4 linked regions of the Drosophila melanogaster genome follow. The protein of the gene in region 1 interacts with the protein of each later gene in a pairwise test. Each region holds a gene or a part of one and is shown in the gene's direction. Other genes may lie near its edges.

Region 1 (4,466 bases):
AAAAAAAAAAAACTCTCACAATCACGCAGCAAATGGTGCATTGCCTAGAGGGGCTGTCCAGATTCCGGATTTCATTGAAAATAATGGCATACGGTGACTGCTGCCCCGAACATCTGACACAATAATTTTCCCTACGAAAGGAGGGAAGCGCAAACAAAGGCCAAATGGAAAAGTTGCCAGCGCAAATTATTAAATTTATCATGCGCGAAGTCATTAGGTCTGTCGCCCGTGCTCGTAGTTTGACTTATTCTAAGGACTAAACGACTGCAGGCAGCTCCACGCACACACACTCCGCCACTTATACATAAATGTCCTGCGAGGCCCGAAGTGTGGAAAGTCATTAGTGGGCATTGCAGTTGACAGGAGGATGGAGATGCTGGCTTTGGATAATAAACATCTGCTTTAGCTATGGAACTTGTAAAATAACAAAGTTTATAACTTTAAAAGAGGCATCTTCGAAAAATTATTTCAAATTTTGACTTAACAATTTACAAGTCGATAAAAAAAAGAATGTTCACAGATTTTTTCGATTAAATTTTATTATTAAAAAAATTCTCTATTGATTGATTTTAAATATTTATCAGAGCAGCACTAACAAAGAATCTTCATCGGACGACTTTTTAAAAAAATGTTTGATTTTCATGATAATTTTGTTAGGTTGTCATTTAAACAGCGGATTTCTAAATATTTCAAAAAATATTTCAATTGAAAAACACTCTTATAATACTCTTAATTGAAAAATGTGTCCTTTTATATTTAAATTAATAAAAATATACCCACACCCAAAGATTGCTTAAAACTAATAAATACAATCAAATAAATAAATATGTGGCCTAGATCTGCCTAGCACTTCCTATCATTTTCCATACCTTTTTCTAGCTTATGCCTTTGCCAACGAAAATATTTGGCATGTGCCATTTATGGCATTGTTCCAGCTTTGAACAATGCGATACCATAATTTCCAGGCAACTCGCAAACGCACAAACTCGCTCACGTAGAGAATGCCATGCAGATGCGGCATCCTCTGAGCTATGCTGTATATGGGCATATAGGCGAAATACTAGGATGCACGGGCTATGGACGGCTATTCGTGGTCCTTGTTCCTCGTTCAACCCCCTAGGACAGGAATCCAGGACTGGCCAGGCGGCCCAGGATCAGCAGGCAGTGAGCATGTGATTAGATTCAGTTTCAATGGAAATTGAAATCACAGACAAAGGAGCGGACCCGGCGGATTCAGGGTGCGAGGGGTGGTGATGGGCCATCAGGGTTGAAAAGGAGCGAAGCGATAAAAATCCTGAACAACAAGAAAAGTGAATTTTCGGACAGGCAGGGCAAAGGCATTAAAAACTTCATACACTTGTAAAAAATTTGACTGCACTAAATAATATTCAACAATTAAATGCAACTTTGAGAGATAACAAAAGTTTTTGGTTTTCGTTACAATCAAGTGTGGTTATAGTTAATTATTACTTAACCAATTGAAAAATGCAGACTTTTATTTAATATACAAAATAATGATTAATAATGAATAGATTATTAATTAGTATGATTTTATACCATTTTTAAATGCAAATATGTAATTGTTAACTTTTCAATAGCAGATTAGATTTATGTTAGAAATTATTATTATTTTGTGTAGGGTATATCTGATGCTATATGTTATGTTTCAAAAAGGTTTCGATCATTAGTAATCATTTTTTTTTCTTAGTGCTGAAACTGTGACTCATTCACCTTTGTGAGTATTGGTAATAATCGTGCTGTATGTATTGGTGTGGATGCTGCATTATGCGAAGCCCAACCACTAAACGTCAACCACCGGCGTCGACACCCGACCCACATTTTATATAGTGGCTCATAATATTCCTTCTGCAGAAAGAGATTAACACCAAACGGCGACGGTGGCGTCGGTGGCAAAAAGTTTATAATCATCCTCGCTGACAGAGCGAAAGAGACGGGCGATTGGAAAGCATAGGCGGAGGCAGGGAGAGAGAGAGAGAGAGTGAGCGGAGAAAATCGGAAAATCGTTATGCGACTACTATAACCCACCACAAAATCGCGGTCGTCTCTGTTGTTGCCGGGCACCTCACACTCGCGCATCGATTCCGATTGCGATTCAGGATCTGAATTTTTTGCCTGGTTTGTGGTGCGTGCGATTTTTAAAAATGTTTAAATCCGCAATTTCTTTCTCCGTGCTCTGTGCTCTTCGTCCCCTTCGTACACCGGCGAACTTGTGATTTGTGGTTAATTTAAATTAATAATCTTTTAAGTGTGTCATGAATTAACTGCAAGTTAAATAAAGTGCTGCGTCGATTTTGCATATTTTATAATCCATTTCGTTGGGTTAATAATTGCCAAATTTATTATTTATATATATTGACGTATAATTTTAAAGTTTATTGTTTTCTGAAGTGCTGCGCTCCTAAATAAATTTAATGCCGCTAAAATTGTATTCGCCATGAAACATCATATTAAACCATCCCTTAAATTGGACTACTACACAGCGCCACCTATGAAAAGCTTTGATAAGCTTATATTCATCTTGTTAATCTGACTACCGCGTAATATTTTGGCTTTGAATTTCCGAAAGGCTTAACGATTATTTTGCTTTAATTAAATTTAAGGAATACCTGACAGACGTTTGCAATTTGTTAAACCATTTCGGGTTAAAACACAAAACAGATGCTCCACCTATAAAAAGCTTTGCTAACCTATTAAATACATAAAATTCCGACAGATGGCGCTACCGAACAGCTGAGCATACGAGTATTCACCCCTATTTTTTAGTTTTCTTATGCAACCCTGCATCATAATAACTTTGATTTGCAAGGACTACCCTAAAAGATTACACATCCCTTCAACCTTTTTTTCACAGCTGGAAAAGTCCCATAAAATACAAAAAAATGGATCCCTCGAATCTTGCTTTTGGTTTTCCCGGTCTCCCCAACCACGGACACATGCCAATACCTCCTACAGCCAATATGCTTGGTGGCCAGCATCCAGCACCCACCGCCAGCCCACCACAAAGCGTCCCCGGCCGTCGGACGCCACTTGGATCGGTTGGTCTGGGTGGTTTCTATGCCCAGGGAATGGGCATGTCCCAGCAGCCACCGACGGATGAGAACAAACCAGGGCCCAGTGCTCCGGAGAAGCCATTGAGTCCCACGGCCGCCGCCATCGCAGCCATTGCCATCAGTGGTGGCACCACCACGGTGGCCGTGTCCAGTGGTGGCGCCAGCGGAAGTGGCTCCAACAGTGGCAAGCAGAAAAACCGCCAGGGAAAGACGGTAAGGCTGAACATAAATGCCCGGGAACGACGAAGGATGCACGATTTGAATGATGCCCTTGATGAGCTGAGAAGTGTGATTCCCTATGCCCATTCGCCTTCTGTGCGAAAGCTGTCGAAAATAGCCACCTTGCTGCTGGCTAAGAACTACATTCTGATGCAGCAAAATGCTCTCGAGGAGTTGAGAAGGTAACGTAGTTCATTACCACGCTCAATAGGAATTATTAACATATATGCTTTTACTTTTAGACTTTTGGCCTATATACAAAGCACCACGGGAGCAGCGCCACTGGATTTGGGTGCATTTCCGGCGGCTGCCAAGTTGCAGGCTCTTCTTCAAGGACCTCACAACGAACCACCGACTAGCAGCAGTTAAATAGGAGTGGGGGCCACCATAAACTATGGTTCAACTGATAAGCAATCCATTAATGAGCAATACTTTTAAGTCAATTGGAAAGCAAATGCCAAATACTTGTGTACTAGTCAGACGAAAGGAGGTTGATAAGGAGCCTCTTATCAGAGCAGCCAAGTGAAAATCTGTTCAGTGATATTTATTTTTGTCATAAGCATTTCTTATTTATGCATTTACCCAATGTCAACCAATATGTGTAAGATGAATATTACCGAATAAAGTATTATTGAAGTAGAAAGTATGTCGTTGGAAAAGGGTTTGGTCATTTAGGTTTACCCATCAGCACTGATAGAAGCCTGTCATTTTTCAGAATCATCAAACAAACAAACAAAATAAGAGTTTCAAATACTCAAACACGCCCAACCCAACCAACCATTTATAGTCATCAGATAACAAACATCAAAGAGCACAATCAAATTTAAAATAATATAATCTTAGATCCGTTTCAAGTCTTGGCAAAAATATTTAACATATAAATATACATACATAGTTGTCTGTATGGTTTTTGATGATTAAGCAAAAGCCGTTTAGCGGAATTCGAAATAAGCGGATTACAACTAGAAAACTAGTCGATGAATACTCTAAAAATATATATATATATAGACATATACGACATGGAGGACGGCGGCGAAGGCGATCGGTGCAAAATCGGCTGGCATTATATTATTCCGGTATGCCCAGGGACAAAACCTTGTTTTTGCCAGTGCGAAAAATGTGCTGCTTGGTGGGCAGTTGACCGATCAAGAAATCCTTCATCATTTCGATGGCATC
Region 2 (5,001 bases), on another chromosome or scaffold:
TTTGTTGGTGCTTTTGTTATTGGCCGACTTGCTGCTGCTTTTGCCGGTTTCGTTTCATCTCGAAGTGGTGGGATCGAGAATAGGTGGGGGGAGTGGAGGGGGCTGGAGCTCGCTTATGATGTTTATTGAAAAATTAATTTGCGCCTCGTTGTTGTATTGCTTTTTTTCGGCGCTCATTTGCGTATTTCAAAGCGCAATGAATAATGATGGTGGTTAAGTAGTGGAAAATAAAAGAAGAAACGCTCGACGTGCTTGGCCTGAGAAATTAATATTTGTAATTGGCTATAATTGTTTATGCCAACGGCACAAAGTATAGAAAACGAGACGCAGACAATGATATTAACGAGCTGAGGGGCCTCTCATCGCATTTTGCCGCCATTTCGAAATGTTTAATTGAAAAGAAAGCGGAATTGCCGGGCATCGTAATGAAGAGCTCAAGTTTTGGGAAGTTGGAAAAATTTTAATCAGTCAAGAGGGGCGTTGGAAAAGTGGTAAGAGGTATATCAAGTGTTAATTGAATGGCTGGGAAATGTGAGAAGTTCATAAACGAGTTTACTGTCTTGGTTTCTTTTAAGTGTAATTAAAAACGATTTCGGAAAGAGTTTGAAAAAAGTTCAGAAATTATATAAAAATATTTCTAAATTTCACCCAACCCATTTAGGCAAGAACTCAAATTAATTGGCTAGAATTTCCCCAATCATGCAGAGTCGTTTCATTTTCAGCATCGTTTGCAACTAATTAAGGCAACCACACAGCCATTCGTCAACTGTTCTAATTGAGCTCTTTATTTTCCACCCACTGGCAATTGTCATTAAAATCCTTTCACCAACTTGCCGCCCGAAAAGCCGAGCGAACCCGCACAATCCGACGCCCATTTCCCATTTTCACAACTTGGTCCTTCGAGCAGCGGAAAACAAAGGAGCAGCTGAACAATGGCTGGCAAAAGTTTTCAAGCCAACAATTTCACATAATAATCCTTAAAATGAGTTTAATTTGTAGAGCGAGAATTATAAAGGGTGCGGTATTCCCGCTCCCTCCCTCACTCCACCCGCCAACCTTGCAATTTATGGAGCTTATGGGGGTTGGCAAAATTCTATATAATCCTGCATATTTCACATTTATATGTATGTGATTGATTCGGCCGGGTTCCCGGGACGTTCGATTTATGTGGACCGATCCGATTTTTATGGCTTATCTCCTGAGGTGGAGCAAAAGGGAAGAAAAAACATAATTTCCTGACCGAGATTGCAGCTTTGCGATAATGCCGCTCCACCCGACATTTGATGCTTTTGGGGCCCTGATAATGATGGGCTTATTATTTATTATATTGTTCTTGTACGCTAAGGACATGTAGGAGTGCCAATTAAAATTGAAAAACCGCCTGGTCTATATATACATACATATATATGTACATATTAGGCGTACATAAAGCTTAAAAAATCACGCCAATTTGGCCAAATGAAGTCATAAACGATAAAGAGGGAGATAGAGGGAAAATGGAGATGGAAGGAAAAGCCAGAAAACCAAAGTGGAAATGGACAGGCGTTTGCCGCCGCTGCTTGTTATAAAATGCTAATACGCGCAGCAGCTCGAAAAAAAAGTGGAAAAACGCTTTGAAGATTGAATTATTCAATAATAATTAGGCGTGCGACAGGGACGGCTATACTGCGGGGCAGCTACACCATCTCTGTCTGTACGGCAAGAGTGCGGCAAACTCACCACACTGAAGCGAGAGCGAAAGAGAAAAGAAGGCGGAACAAAAGTCAGAAAAGTGGAGAAATACAAGACTCACACCGGAAAAAAAGAGCGAGCGAGCTAGTCTCGAAACCAATAAAAATGGTGTCGCACGCGGTGCACTCCACCACGGGAGTGAGAGAGAGGCACGCTCTACACAGCCGGTTTCCCACCACCAATCGTCGAGTGCGTCGGTGTGAGTGAGTATCTGTGTGGCAGGCAGCGGTGCATCCGAAACTGCGACCACAGTTTCAGTCGCAGAACAGACGTGATCTCAAGAGGACGTGTCTCTCTCTGGAAATAAATAGCCCCTGAAAAGATACAAAACGCCGCGTGTGACAGTGTGTGTCTGTGTTTCCCAAGCGTGTGACGAACGAGCGCATTAATTGAAAGATAATCAAAACAAATTAACAGCAGACCATGTCTCAATGAACCAATTAACCGGCGCACCTAAAGCACAGTATTAACGAGCCACAGTTACACAAACGATCGAAAGGCTTTATGTTAAAGCTCAGCCCAGCGAGCATGACAGTTACAGGTCTGCGCCAGACGATGACCAGTCCCACGGTGCCGCCGAGCAGTAACACTCCCGCGGGTAACCTCATCATCACCAGCAGCAGTAGCAACAGCGGCAGCAACAGCGGCAGCAACATGAGCAGCGGCAACATGACCAGCAGCAACCTGACCAACCTGAGTCCTAGCCACCCGGCTGGCCTGAATGCCCTGGCCAGTCCCACCTCGCCGTCGGCACTGCTGCTGGCCCATCAGCAGCATCTGCTGCAGCAGCACCAGCAACACCAGCAGCAGCAGCAACAGCAGCAGCAGGCGGCGGCGCTCCAGCTGGCCGCAGTGCATCCGCCGGCCCACCATCTGCACAAGACCACCTCCCGACTGAGCAACTTTAGTGTGGCCTCTCTCCTGGCGGACACGAGGCCCAGAACGCCACCCAACCAGGCGGCGGATGGACCCCAGAACCTGACCAGTTCGGCGGCCACCTCGCCCATCTCCCAGGCCAGCAGCACGCCGCCGCCTCCGCCGGCCAGTGCGGCCGCCCAAGTTCCCGCCAACACCTTCCATCCCGCCGCCGTCGCGCACCACGCCCACTTGCTGCAGGCCGCCCACGCGGCTGCGGCGGCACATGCCCAGCACCAGGCGATGGCCGCCCAGCTGCGCCAACAGCAGCAGCAGGCGGACGCCCGGGCCAACTCGCCACCCGCCTCCACGAGTTCCACGCCCAGCTCCACGCCACTGGGATCCGCACTGGGATCGCAGGGCAATGTGGCCTCCACTCCCGCCAAAAATGAACGCCATTCGCCGCTGGGCAGCCACACGGACTCCGAGCTGGAGTACGACGAGGAGATGCTGCAGGACCACGAGGCCGATCACGACGAGGAGGAGGACTCCATTGTGGATATCGAGGACATGAACGCCGACGACTCGCCGCGCTCCACGCCCGACGGCCTCGACGGCAGCGGCAAGTCGCTGGAATCGCCGCACGGTCCGCCGCCGGGCTCTCACATGCAATCCACGATACTTTCCCCGGCGGCCCTGGCCTCCGGTCATGTGCCCATCCGCCCGACCCCCTTCAGTGCACTGGCCGCCGCGGCGGTGGCCTGGACGGGAATGGGCGGTGGAGTTCCGTGGCCAGGAACCAGACAAATGCCGCCCTTCGGACCGCCTGGCATGTTTCCGGGAGCAGGATTCGGTGGAGGTAAGTGTCGTTATCCAGTTCTTTGTGGGGTTTTTGTCAGCTTGTTTTCGGTTTTTGTACTTCCTAGAGGGGAAATGATAAACCTTATCTGTTACATGTGCTTAACTGTCCTGTCCTAAGCGATATTTTAAACTCATTTGCAATGGAGGATTCAGCATGGGCATAATTAAATAATGGGAAAATAAAAATATATATAGGAGAGAATATAGAACTCAAAAGGTTTACTTCAAAAAAAATAAAAACAACCTCAACTCTCTTTCGAAAATATTTTCAATTTAGAGCCTTAACATCAAAGTAAATATGAGTGTATATATAGTTACATTTCATATATTTATTTATAATTAACTGTAAACCCATAAACATGAACTTCTGAACCCGTGAACAATAGAAATACGCGAATTCCGCTTGGGAGCAAATTCCCCATTAGCAGCCAGCGATGTGTATTCAAAAACGATTTATTTAATGGAGGAATTTCAAACCACCCACCCCACCCCTCATTGTTTTATGCCCCATGTGCGGTGGCAACTTTATCTACACCATTTTGTGTCGCATTTTAATTCAATTAACTGCCGCCCCTCGCCTTAATTGGCATCGATGGTGACTCTCCGCTCCTGGTCGGACGCGAGCTGCGGGTGCTCCATCATGGCCACCTCGTCGTCATCGTCATCATGGCTATGGAATGGAAGTGATCGTGACTGCAGTTTGTAGTCAAAGTGCGTGGCAATTATTGCGGGGCCTTAAATAAAACAATGAAAACTGCCTGATTGCGCTGGGCCCATTATTTGATGATGATGATGATGATGATGGCTGATGGCTGATGATAGTCGCGTCGGTTCTGATTTGACTCAATTGGCCACGTCTGATTATTCATTGCACTCGCTGGCCAGCGGCGTTTTTCGGTGTTTTCCGGTCTGACAGCCAGCCAGCCCCCCATTACCGTTCCCGAATTGGAAAATCTAATAATAAGCGCGTAAAAAGCGGACTGTCTAACCGACCAGCCAGACTAATTGAAGCGAGTCTGGCTGTTTAACTGGGCGATCTCTATCTGCATGCACAGTTCACACTTTGCCTGCATTTCCTGGACAAAAAGCACCGCGGGTCGTAGGGAAAAACTGGTGGAAAATCGGGGAAAACACTCGACAAGTCACACTTTGATGCCGGACTGACATGTGAACTTTACTCGGCCATCGCGAACTCTGCGTTTCCGCTCCTTAAAGTTGCTCAAACACATTCGAAAAACTCGGAAAGGGCGGTGCAAAAACGGTGGGCAAAAAAGTGTAAATTTGCTTTTTATATGCAGAACAGCAACTATTGTTCCTGTTTTTGCTGCATATGCTCGGGTTTTTCTTGCCACTACAAAGCATTGTTTTATAAAGCTGTCGGCTGTGTTTTGAAAAAAAGGGCTTCAAATGGGGTGTTGTATTAGGAAATTTGGGCTTTAAAGTAGGTTAGTTCGAGTATTACCATATTACCGCCTCATTCAAACTATTAATACATGAAATTCCAGAACTGCATCTCTAAAAGTGCTTTCATAAATTCCAAAATATTTCAAAAGG
Region 3 (3,594 bases), on another chromosome or scaffold:
CGCTTTTCACTTTATTTTCCTGTGACGCACATTTGGCAATGCCGTCCAACTGGTTTTTTTGATCTGCAGTGGCAAACACAGTGACCTTTCTCTACATTTTACGCTACCTTTTGGGCCGGCTTTTTGGTGAATTAACCCAACCAGTTATTGGCGAACTTATACTTACGATCTCGTGTTTCCCATGATTCAGCTGGATTTCGGCATTATGTTCAAATGAGTAACTCTCGGAACTTGGGGTTCGGAATTTTTGATTTCACAATCGTTTTGTGGATTGTTCTCGACGTTAAGAGCGCAATTTGTTTGACGTGTCGCCCACGAAAATGCTCTTTCCATTTTTTCCTACTTGTTATTGAATTTTTTTGCCCGGTCATGCTGATAGTTGGTATTGCGAATTGTGAAACTGATAAAAGCGAATTTGTTTTGGGGAAATTAAATACCCCCAGCGAAGTGTAGCAGGAATATTCAAGTGTTCGCCTTTGATAGTATCAAATACTTCCAAGAAATGAAAGTCTAGTATTCCTTTTCATGTTATATGGTCACAGCAATTACTTATTAAAACCCAAGGCCGTCATAACAAACACAAACAATAAAAGTCGATCGATATATGGACTAAGCCCATCCATATTGTTACATTGAAAATGTGTACCAGTAATTTCGAATTTGCATGTGCCTTTGACTCATCATTTAATCTACTACTATTTGTCTACCATAGCTTGGGCTTACCCATTAAAATTATTACTATGAGTCAAAGTATATTGAATAATTCGAAAAACGGTTATATTTTTATGGTCTTATTAGTACGGTATGAGCCTTTCGCGATTTGCTTGTGTGTTGGAAATACTCGACAACTGTTGCTATATATGTACATATGTACATACATACATATATGTTTGCCTGATATCAATGTTTGCCGGCCGGCTTGAATTCTTATCTGGTTTCTGTTTGCCTGCTTATTTGTTTGTACTTATTTTTTTTTGCATTTTAAAAGAATTTATGTTTTTTCAGGCGCACAGATGTTCATTAGAAATGCAAAATTGTGTTTCAAGCTAATCGATTGCATGCTTATGTGTTTGCTAATCTTAGCAAGTCGATGTGTAAATACCCTACGATTAATAATACCTGTATGGCAGGATTGTATCTTCTTTGTTATCTGTTTGTTAAAATCAGAAATTATAAAGAAATGTAACAAAATTTGTTCTTAAGCGAGTAAAAGGCTTCGTTCCAATGGAGGATCATTAGAAAGTTGCAGCTTTCTTTTGCGGGGGTATGGTGGAGGTGTATGAGGGAACGGATAGAGTGCAACCTCCTCCAGAGCACGCACACACACACTATCAATCGTCTCCACACACCCATGGCCACACAACAGTGTATTAATCACGCCGCTAACGTCACATTTTTGCCCGCCATTAGTGGGTATGTGTGGGCAAGTCAGAATATAATAGAAGACAAAAAAAAAACCCAGGCACGACAACAACTAGCAGCCCCCTCTCTCTCTCTCTGTACCTCTCTCCCCACCTTGCCACGCCCCGCGGGGCGCTTCAAGCTACAACTCTTGTTTGCCGGCATTGTGGCGACCACAGCCGGCCCCTATAAAAGTGGGCTCGCTCTTCGAATTCCGTTCAGTGCTACTTTTCATTTGATACAGTGTACATCGCGAGTTTCACAACAGAAGAAAAAAATGTAAGTTCCCCACAGCAATTTCTATATATATTGTGTTTTGTGATTGTGTGCCTGTGTTTGGTCAAAAATAAAAGGAAATATTGGCAGCATGGAAAATTACCAACATTTGAACGTATTATAGCCCCGATATGACATCATAGCCAAGTGAACTTCTGTAATGGCGGCCCAATTAAAGTCCGCTTTTGCTGAACTTGTAATTATAGAGCGCGTCTAATTGTGGCATATCTTTCTAGCATCCAGATCTATTCTGTTTGCATGCCATATGGATAATGTGTATAATACAGAAGCAATTTGGGTCTCAAGAAGGGGGAGATTGTTAATTTAAATATGAATGCGACGCTTGTGGATATGCTTGAAAAAGTTTGGTGCTCACATCTAAATTTGAAAAGAAGTTGGAGATTTGTTCACTCCAATCAAATATGGCGGACTCACAATTGTTTTCAGTTTCTTTTCAACTTGATTCTTCTTCCATTTAAAACCCAAATTAGAAATACAAATGAATGCCCTAAGCTTTTAAATAACCGTTGGTTAGAAATTAGCGAAGATAATAATATTTCTTAACAAGTTGGCTACAAATTATTTATTGCGAGCACTGTAACTAAATGATAGTTCTTCGAACTTCTACAGTAAAATGGTTGACTTCTACTACCTGCCCGGCTCCTCCCCCTGCCGCTCCGTGATCATGACCGCCAAGGCCGTGGGCGTCGAGCTGAACAAGAAGCTGCTCAACCTGCAGGCCGGTGAGCACCTGAAGCCGGAGTTCCTGAAGATCAATCCCCAGCACACCATTCCCACGCTGGTGGACAACGGATTCGCGCTGTGGGAGTCCCGCGCCATCCAGGTGTATTTGGTGGAGAAGTACGGCAAGACCGACTCCCTGTACCCTAAGTGCCCCAAGAAGCGCGCCGTGATCAATCAGCGCCTGTACTTCGACATGGGAACGCTGTACCAGAGCTTCGCCAACTACTACTACCCACAGGTGTTCGCCAAGGCGCCCGCCGATCCAGAGGCCTTCAAGAAGATCGAGGCCGCCTTCGAGTTCCTGAACACCTTCCTGGAGGGACAGGACTACGCCGCCGGTGACTCCCTTACCGTAGCCGACATTGCCCTGGTGGCAACCGTGTCCACATTCGAGGTGGCCAAATTCGAGATCAGCAAGTACGCCAATGTGAACAGGTGGTACGAGAACGCCAAGAAGGTGACTCCCGGATGGGAGGAGAACTGGGCCGGATGCCTGGAGTTCAAGAAGTACTTCGAATAAGCCTGATATTCACGTTTTTATACCCGTACATATGATGTAGTATTTATATTCACGTTCACAAACAACAATTCCAAATTCGCCTGTCTCCAAAGACAATAAATAAGTGTTCTTTTTTTTGAATGCACAAAATACAAATGAGTTTGTTTTTAGATGGGTGTACATTTACATATATTACTATGTGTATGTGGATAGTGGATATTGTGGATAGGGACTGCAATTGAATAAGTGGGCTCTCTTGATGCTCGTTATTTTCTCTTTGATGCCAGGGGTGATTCTCTTTCCTCTTTTGCTAAATCTCTCCGAATCGAGAGGCAAACAAAAAAAGATAATAAAAGATAGAATATTTTCGCGATGCTCGTTAGTTTTATGTGGTGAAGGCCTCAAAAAAGAAGCTTGAAAATCTGTAAGGAAAAAGTGAGAAATTATCAGACTTAAATTCATTGGTGAAATAGATTAGAAACTTAGAGTGAATTTCGTTTTGGTTCTGAAATTTTCATCAGAAAGGCAGCTCTTGTAATTTCTTGTTCTTCAAAAAGCTTTTAACGGTAGATAACAAAGTGGAAAATTACCAAGTTAAATTATTCATTTAAAAGGAAGCAAATCTCGACATATTTTATATATTATGGGCACCATTTTTAATAAAAACACAGTTT
Region 4 (5,761 bases), on another chromosome or scaffold:
CTTGGAAGTAAACAAATTAAGAGTAATTGCCTTTTATTTATACACTCCGAGGGGATATTTTTTGAATTTTTAATTGGACGCATAACTACGATCTTGAGATGGCCAATTTGAAAAGTGCAAGTATTTATTATGATAATTTAAATGATTGCACTGCGTTTAGATAATTTGCAAGCAAAATCTAGATTTATATGTTATGCGAAATTGTTTTATATTCCTAAAAATGCAGGGGATAAACTTCGAGTGGATAAACTTGGAGCTCATTTAAGCTTCTGCAAAAAGTGAGAGTATGCGCTATTCGCATATCACTCACATTCGCTTTCGCACTCGTCTCTAGTTTTATATACTTCAATTTCGCCCCGCTATCAGGGCATTTGTTTATTCAGGCCGGGCACAGAACCTGTTCCACGATGGGATCAGATCACCTAGCTAGTCACCCGCACCGGCTCGTTGCAGTAAGAGCAACGAAGAGGAGCTGTGGAGAACTGTCCACATCCAGCAGAGAATTGACGAACTGCTTAAAATGCAGGCCGTGCCTCCTCCTTTGAGGGAGGGGGCGTGGCTGGGCAATGAGTCGCGGGGGCGGCAATTGAATGATGAAGTGCAAAACGAGATCACAATGGCAAATGCCGTGGGACTTGGGACGTGGGCGTGGGCGGGGATCTTTCTAGTGGAATCGAAACCAGAAACCGAATTAGATTGCTTGGCAGTGCCGCAGATGCAAACACACACACTTCGCACTGGGCAAGGTCAAGAGCCCCGGAGCGGTCGGGAATTTACCCGGATCGCAATGGGTTGGGGATTTTTCCGAGTAGTCCGAGGTGGCCTCTTATCAGCAGTCCTCTGGCACGGAGGCTATCTGCAGCCAGGTAATAGAAGGGAGGTAATGGAGCTACGCCCAGCACAAAGTGTGTTTGTCAGCGCAAAAGCTTCGTTGCATTATTTAACCGCACGGAAAAGGCATTCATCAGGGAAATTGTATGCGATAAAAATGAAGCACTGCTACTCACTTATTTTAAGTACAAATTGCAAATCGAATGGCATTTTTGAAACAGTGATACTTACTATTTTAAATAAAAGTATATAACAAAATAATATTTTGTTAAATGTGTTATATATGAAATGAAAAATTCATTAGCTTTAACTTAATGTAGAATAATTTGTTTATAACACTTTTCATTTTTTACATTTTTGGCATGCATTTACATAGTTACATAGCATTTCAAACTGCAGTTATGGCGCGAAAAAGACACTGTAACTTAACAGCACTCGCTCTGTAGATGCAAGCACTGCAATGCAAGTAAATTTCCAGCTATACATTTGTGGAGCTTAAGTGCATCTGCTTTTTGTACATTCTAATGTTAAACTTGTTGAACTAAAAAATGATAAGAATGATAAATAACAATCAAATAACAAAACGTTTGAAAAGCGCGCCAAGTGCGCTCAACAGCCCGCTGTTAGCCGAAGCGGTTGCTGGCCGGCGGTGTGCGTCCCCGCTAGAGCACTGCGCAGCCCTGGCAGCACTCGCGTGGCATTTCCGCACGGCGCCGCGCACGGTCACACCCTGTTAGCATTGTGACACGTCGGAAAGACCAAAAAAAAACTGAATTTGGAAATTAGGAAATAAGTTGGTCAATTGGCATTATCGGGATAAACAGGCGAACGGAATAGGCAGCCACGATGACGTCGCAAGTGCCGTGCTACACGATAATCAACTCGCCGGACCTGGAGGTGACCAACGAGATGCAACTGAAGCGCGATCTCGAAAAGGGCGACACGAACGTGAAGATCGAGACGCTGAAGCGGGTAATCAAGTTGCTGCTGAATGGGGAGCGGTATCCGGGCCTGATCATGACCATCATACGCTTCGTCCTGCCGGTGCAGAACCACACGATCAAGAAGCTGCTGCTCATCTTCTGGGAAATTGTGCCGAAGACATCGGCGGATGGGAAGCTGCTGCAGGAGATGATACTGGTGTGCGATGCGTACAGGAAGGATTTGCAGCATCCCAATGAGTTTCTGCGCGGCTCGACACTGCGCTTCCTCTGCAAGCTGAAGGAGCCGGAGCTGCTGGAGCCACTGATGCCGGCCATACGGGCGTGCCTGGATCACCGGCACTCGTATGTGCGACGAAATGCCGTGCTGGCCATCTTTACCATCTACAAGAACTTCGATTGGCTGGTGCCCGATGGGCCGGAGCTGATTGCCAGCTTCCTGGACACGCAGCAGGACATGAGCTGCAAGCGCAACGCCTTCCTTATGCTACTGCATGCGGACCAGGAGCGAGCGCTCAACTATCTGGCCAGTTGCATCGATCAGGTGCACACTTTCGGCGATATACTGCAGCTGGTCATCGTGGAGCTGATCTATAAGGTGTGCCATGCCAATCCCGCCGAGCGTTCGCGGTTCATACGCTGCATCTACAACCTGCTGAACTCCAGCTCGAATGCGGTGCGTTACGAGTCCGCTGGCACATTGATTACGCTCTCGCTGGCGCCCACGGCCATCAAGGCGGCGGCCAGTTGCTACATCGAACTGGTGGTCAAGGAGAGCGACAACAACGTCAAGCTAATCGTGCTCGATCGCCTGGTGGCCATGAAGGAGCACGAGGGCATGGAGAAGGTGATGCAGGATCTGGTGATGGACGTTCTGCGCGTCCTGGCCGCACCAGACATCGAGGTGCGCAGGAAAACACTCGCGCTGGCCCTGGACTTGGTCTATTCGCGTAATATTGGCGAAATGGTGCTGGTCCTCAAGAAGGAGGTGGCCAAGACGCACAATGTGGAGCACGAGGACACTGGCAAGTACAGGCAGCTGCTCGTCCGCACCCTGCACACCTGCTCCATCAAGTTTCCCGATGTGGCCGCCAATGTTATACCCGTACTGGTTGAATTCCTCTCGGATACCAACGAACTTGCCGCCGCCGATGTGCTTATCTTCATACGCGAAGCCATCCAAAAGTTCCCCGCCCTGCGCGCCCTCATCATTGAGCATTTAATTGAGGCCTTCCCGCAGATTAAGTCCTCCAAAATTCATCGCGCCGCCGTTTGGATTTTGGGTGAATACGTGGAGGGCTCGCAAATCCTGGAGGTGATTGCCGTCATTCAGCAGACGCTGGGCGAAGTGCCCATGGTGGAGGCGGAGCAGCGTCGCTTGGCCGGCGACCAGACCGAGGAGCAGAAGCAGCAGCAGGGATCCGCAGGCGGCAATGCAGCTGGATCCGCCGCAGAGGGCTCTGGCTCCGGAAACGCCAGCAACAAGGTCACCTCCGATGGAACCTATGCCACCCAGAGTGCCTACAGTCTGGCCCCGTAAGTAATGGCTACGTGTACGTATATCATGCCACCAATGAGGCATTCGAGGCTTGTGGCATTGCATCAGCTTGCACTGATAAGTATGCCTCTAGCTAGACATGCCCATTATCTATTGTTCGGCAATGAGTCATCTTAATACGTAGCACCTACAAAATAGTTGTTTGCAGTTCTGATTCTAACGCTGGTTAATGCTTTCTGCAGGGTGGCCAAGGCGGAGAAACGTCCGCCATTGCGTCAGTACTTGATGGACGGCGACTTCTTCATCGGCGCCGCTCTATCCGCCACGTTGACCAAGCTGGCACTGCGCTACGCAGAGCTGGAGACGGAGGCGCGTGCCCAGAATCGTCTGACCACGCAGGTAATGCTGATCATGAGCTCGATACTGCACCTGGGCAAGTCCGGTTTCCCTAGCAAGCCCATAACCAACGATGACACCGATCGCATCTTCGTCTGCCTGCGCACGCTGAGCGAACGCACGCCGGAGGCTATCTCCGTCTTCACACTGTACTGCCGCGAGGCTCTGGGCAAGATGCTGGATGCGCAGCACGACGAGGACCAGCGCATGTTGAAGGAGAAGCAGAAGGCCACCGCCAAGGTGCAGCCGGACGATCCGGTGCTCTTTGCACAGCTCTCGAACGGACGTGACAATCAGCTGGGCGAGAATGTGTTCGAATCCAGTCTGAACCAGGCGTTGGCCGGCAGCAAGAACGCCCAGCTGAGCGACGTGGCCTCGCCGAACAGCAAGCTCAACAAGGTCACCCAACTGACTGGCTTCTCGGATCCCGTCTATGCGGAGGCCTACGTCAATGTCAATCAGTACGATATTGTCCTGGACGTGCTGATCGTCAACCAGACCAGTGAGTAGTGCATCTTTAGGCGAAAGGGCATCGCTTTCAATCCATGAAATCACTTTCAGACGACACGCTACAGAACTGCACACTGGAGTTGGCCACATTGGGCGATCTTAAGCTGGTGGAGCGCCCGCATCCAGTGGTCCTGGCTCCGCACGACTTCTGCAATATCAAGGCCAACGTAAAGGTCTCCTCCACAGAGAACGGCATCATCTTCGGCAATATTGGTGAGTTGCTAATTGCGGAATTCGCTGTTAAAGTGCACTCACGCTCACTTATGGCGCTTAACCAACAGTTTACGAAACCGCCCTGAACACGAATGTGGTGGTCCTCAATACCATTCACATCGACATCATGGACTACATAATTCCGGCCAGCTGCACGGACACCGAGTTCCGTCAAATGTGGCAGGACTTCGAGTGGGAGAACAAGGTCACCGTCAACACCAGCTTCACCGACCTGCACGAATATCTCAAGCACCTGCTGAAGAGCACCAACATGAAGTGCCTCACGCCGGAGAAGGCGCTGTCCGGCCAGTGCGGCTTCATGGCCGCCAACATGTACGCCAAGTGAGTGTCCAGCTGTCCACTATGGAGTAGCCATCATATTCTCATCACAACTCATCCGCTCACTTTGCAGGTCCATTTTCGGAGAGAATGCCTTGGCCAATCTGAGTATCGAGAAGCCCGTCGATGATCCCGATTCGAAGGTGACGGGACACATACGCATTCGCGCCAAGAGTCAGGTGAGAGTCGAGCACAAACCAGCCGCACATCTGCACATGGTCATGCGCAACTTTCTAATCCGTATTCCGTATTTCGCGCCTTTCACACAGGGCATGGCCTTGAGTCTGGGCGACAAGATCAGCTCCTCGCAGAAGCAGTCGGTGCAGGCGGCCTAGTGGACGTGGAACTGGACGTGGACGACCAGCCACCAGCAGGAGCGACGTATCTAGACGACGTACTCGGCCACCTGCCCGCATTCCGCCAGCTGCAGCTTCTTCAATTTACATTACACGTTACAATTATACATAAAGAATATAATATTATACCTTAACCCCAAGATTGGCAGTGGTTTCATTTGACGGGGCTGTTTCCATAGAAATTCGGACTACTGGTTAATTGGTTGTGTGGTACGAGTATCAGTGTATTTATTTTGTTTTTTCCTATTTAACAATAAGTATGTATGCACTTCGTCTTGCAATAAACGAAAAGGTAGAATTGGAACAGATAAAATACCCAAGTTTTGTATAAGTTATGATACACAATTGTTTTAAAATCTGGAGAAATAATTGATTGTTTAAACTAGCTAGTGCTAAAACGATTACATTTCTATTGAAGTGCTCCCAAGTAGCTGGCGGCTATATAAATTCGTCTTAGGCCTGGAGCATGGGCCGTTTTTCCTTGGCCTGGAGGTGGTCGTTCGTCGTTGCGTAGCCAGTGCCGCCCTGTGAAATAGTCGAGAAACCTTAGCAATGCAGAATAGTTGCACAGTTCGCGATGTACTTACTCGCTGCAGGGGAATGATGTCCTTCTCCTTGAGCTTGCGATCCGTGAGCGGATGGATCATGTCCTTTCTGATCAGCCGTTCCACGCACTC

The links.
Region 2: the proteins of Oli (region 1) and Dr interact in a two-hybrid assay, tested with the Drosophila melanogaster proteins (one large-scale study listed by BioGRID).
Region 3: the proteins of Oli (region 1) and GstD1 interact in a two-hybrid assay, tested with the Drosophila melanogaster proteins (one large-scale study listed by BioGRID).
Region 4: the proteins of Oli (region 1) and betaCOP interact in a two-hybrid assay, tested with the Drosophila melanogaster proteins (one large-scale study listed by BioGRID).

Annotation. Positions count from the first base shown.
Region 1 is NT_033779.5:17,587,340-17,591,805, forward strand, and holds Oli (olig family), read left to right. Parts: upstream 1-1,844; 5' UTR 1,845-2,240; exon of another isoform or gene 2,241-2,872; 5' UTR 2,873-2,900; coding exon 2,901-3,472; intron 3,473-3,532; coding exon 3,533-3,659; 3' UTR 3,660-3,928; downstream 3,929-4,466. Other genes in the region: CG6870 (uncharacterized protein), read right to left, coding at 4,359-4,466.
Region 2 is NT_033777.3:29,554,401-29,559,401, forward strand, and holds the start of Dr (drop), read left to right. Parts: upstream 1-1,985; 5' UTR 1,986-2,235; coding exon 2,236-3,445; intron 3,446-5,001. UniProt on the Drosophila melanogaster protein: Plays a key role in the specification of proneural and promuscular cluster formation. Required for the specification of dorsal and lateral muscle progenitor cells. Regulates development of peripheral nervous system derived from lateral neuroblasts.
Region 3 is NT_033777.3:12,367,289-12,370,882, reverse strand, and holds GstD1 (glutathione S transferase D1), read left to right. Parts: upstream 1-1,614; 5' UTR 1,615-1,680; intron 1,681-2,289; exon of another isoform or gene 2,290-2,307; 5' UTR 2,308-2,311; coding exon 2,312-2,941; 3' UTR 2,942-3,066; downstream 3,067-3,594. UniProt on the Drosophila melanogaster protein: Conjugation of reduced glutathione to a wide number of exogenous and endogenous hydrophobic electrophiles. Has DDT dehydrochlorinase activity. May be involved in detoxification.
Region 4 is NC_004354.4:18,381,010-18,386,770, reverse strand, and holds betaCOP (coat protein (coatomer) beta), read left to right. Parts: upstream 1-1,528; 5' UTR 1,529-1,677; coding exon 1,678-3,308; intron 3,309-3,512; coding exon 3,513-4,168; intron 4,169-4,227; coding exon 4,228-4,389; intron 4,390-4,457; coding exon 4,458-4,731; intron 4,732-4,801; coding exon 4,802-4,907; intron 4,908-4,997; coding exon 4,998-5,063; 3' UTR 5,064-5,222; downstream 5,223-5,761. Other genes in the region: CG6179 (uncharacterized protein), read right to left, coding at 5,538-5,609, 5,672-5,761. UniProt on the Drosophila melanogaster protein: The coatomer is a cytosolic protein complex that binds to dilysine motifs and reversibly associates with Golgi non-clathrin-coated vesicles, which further mediate biosynthetic protein transport from the ER, via the Golgi up to the trans Golgi network.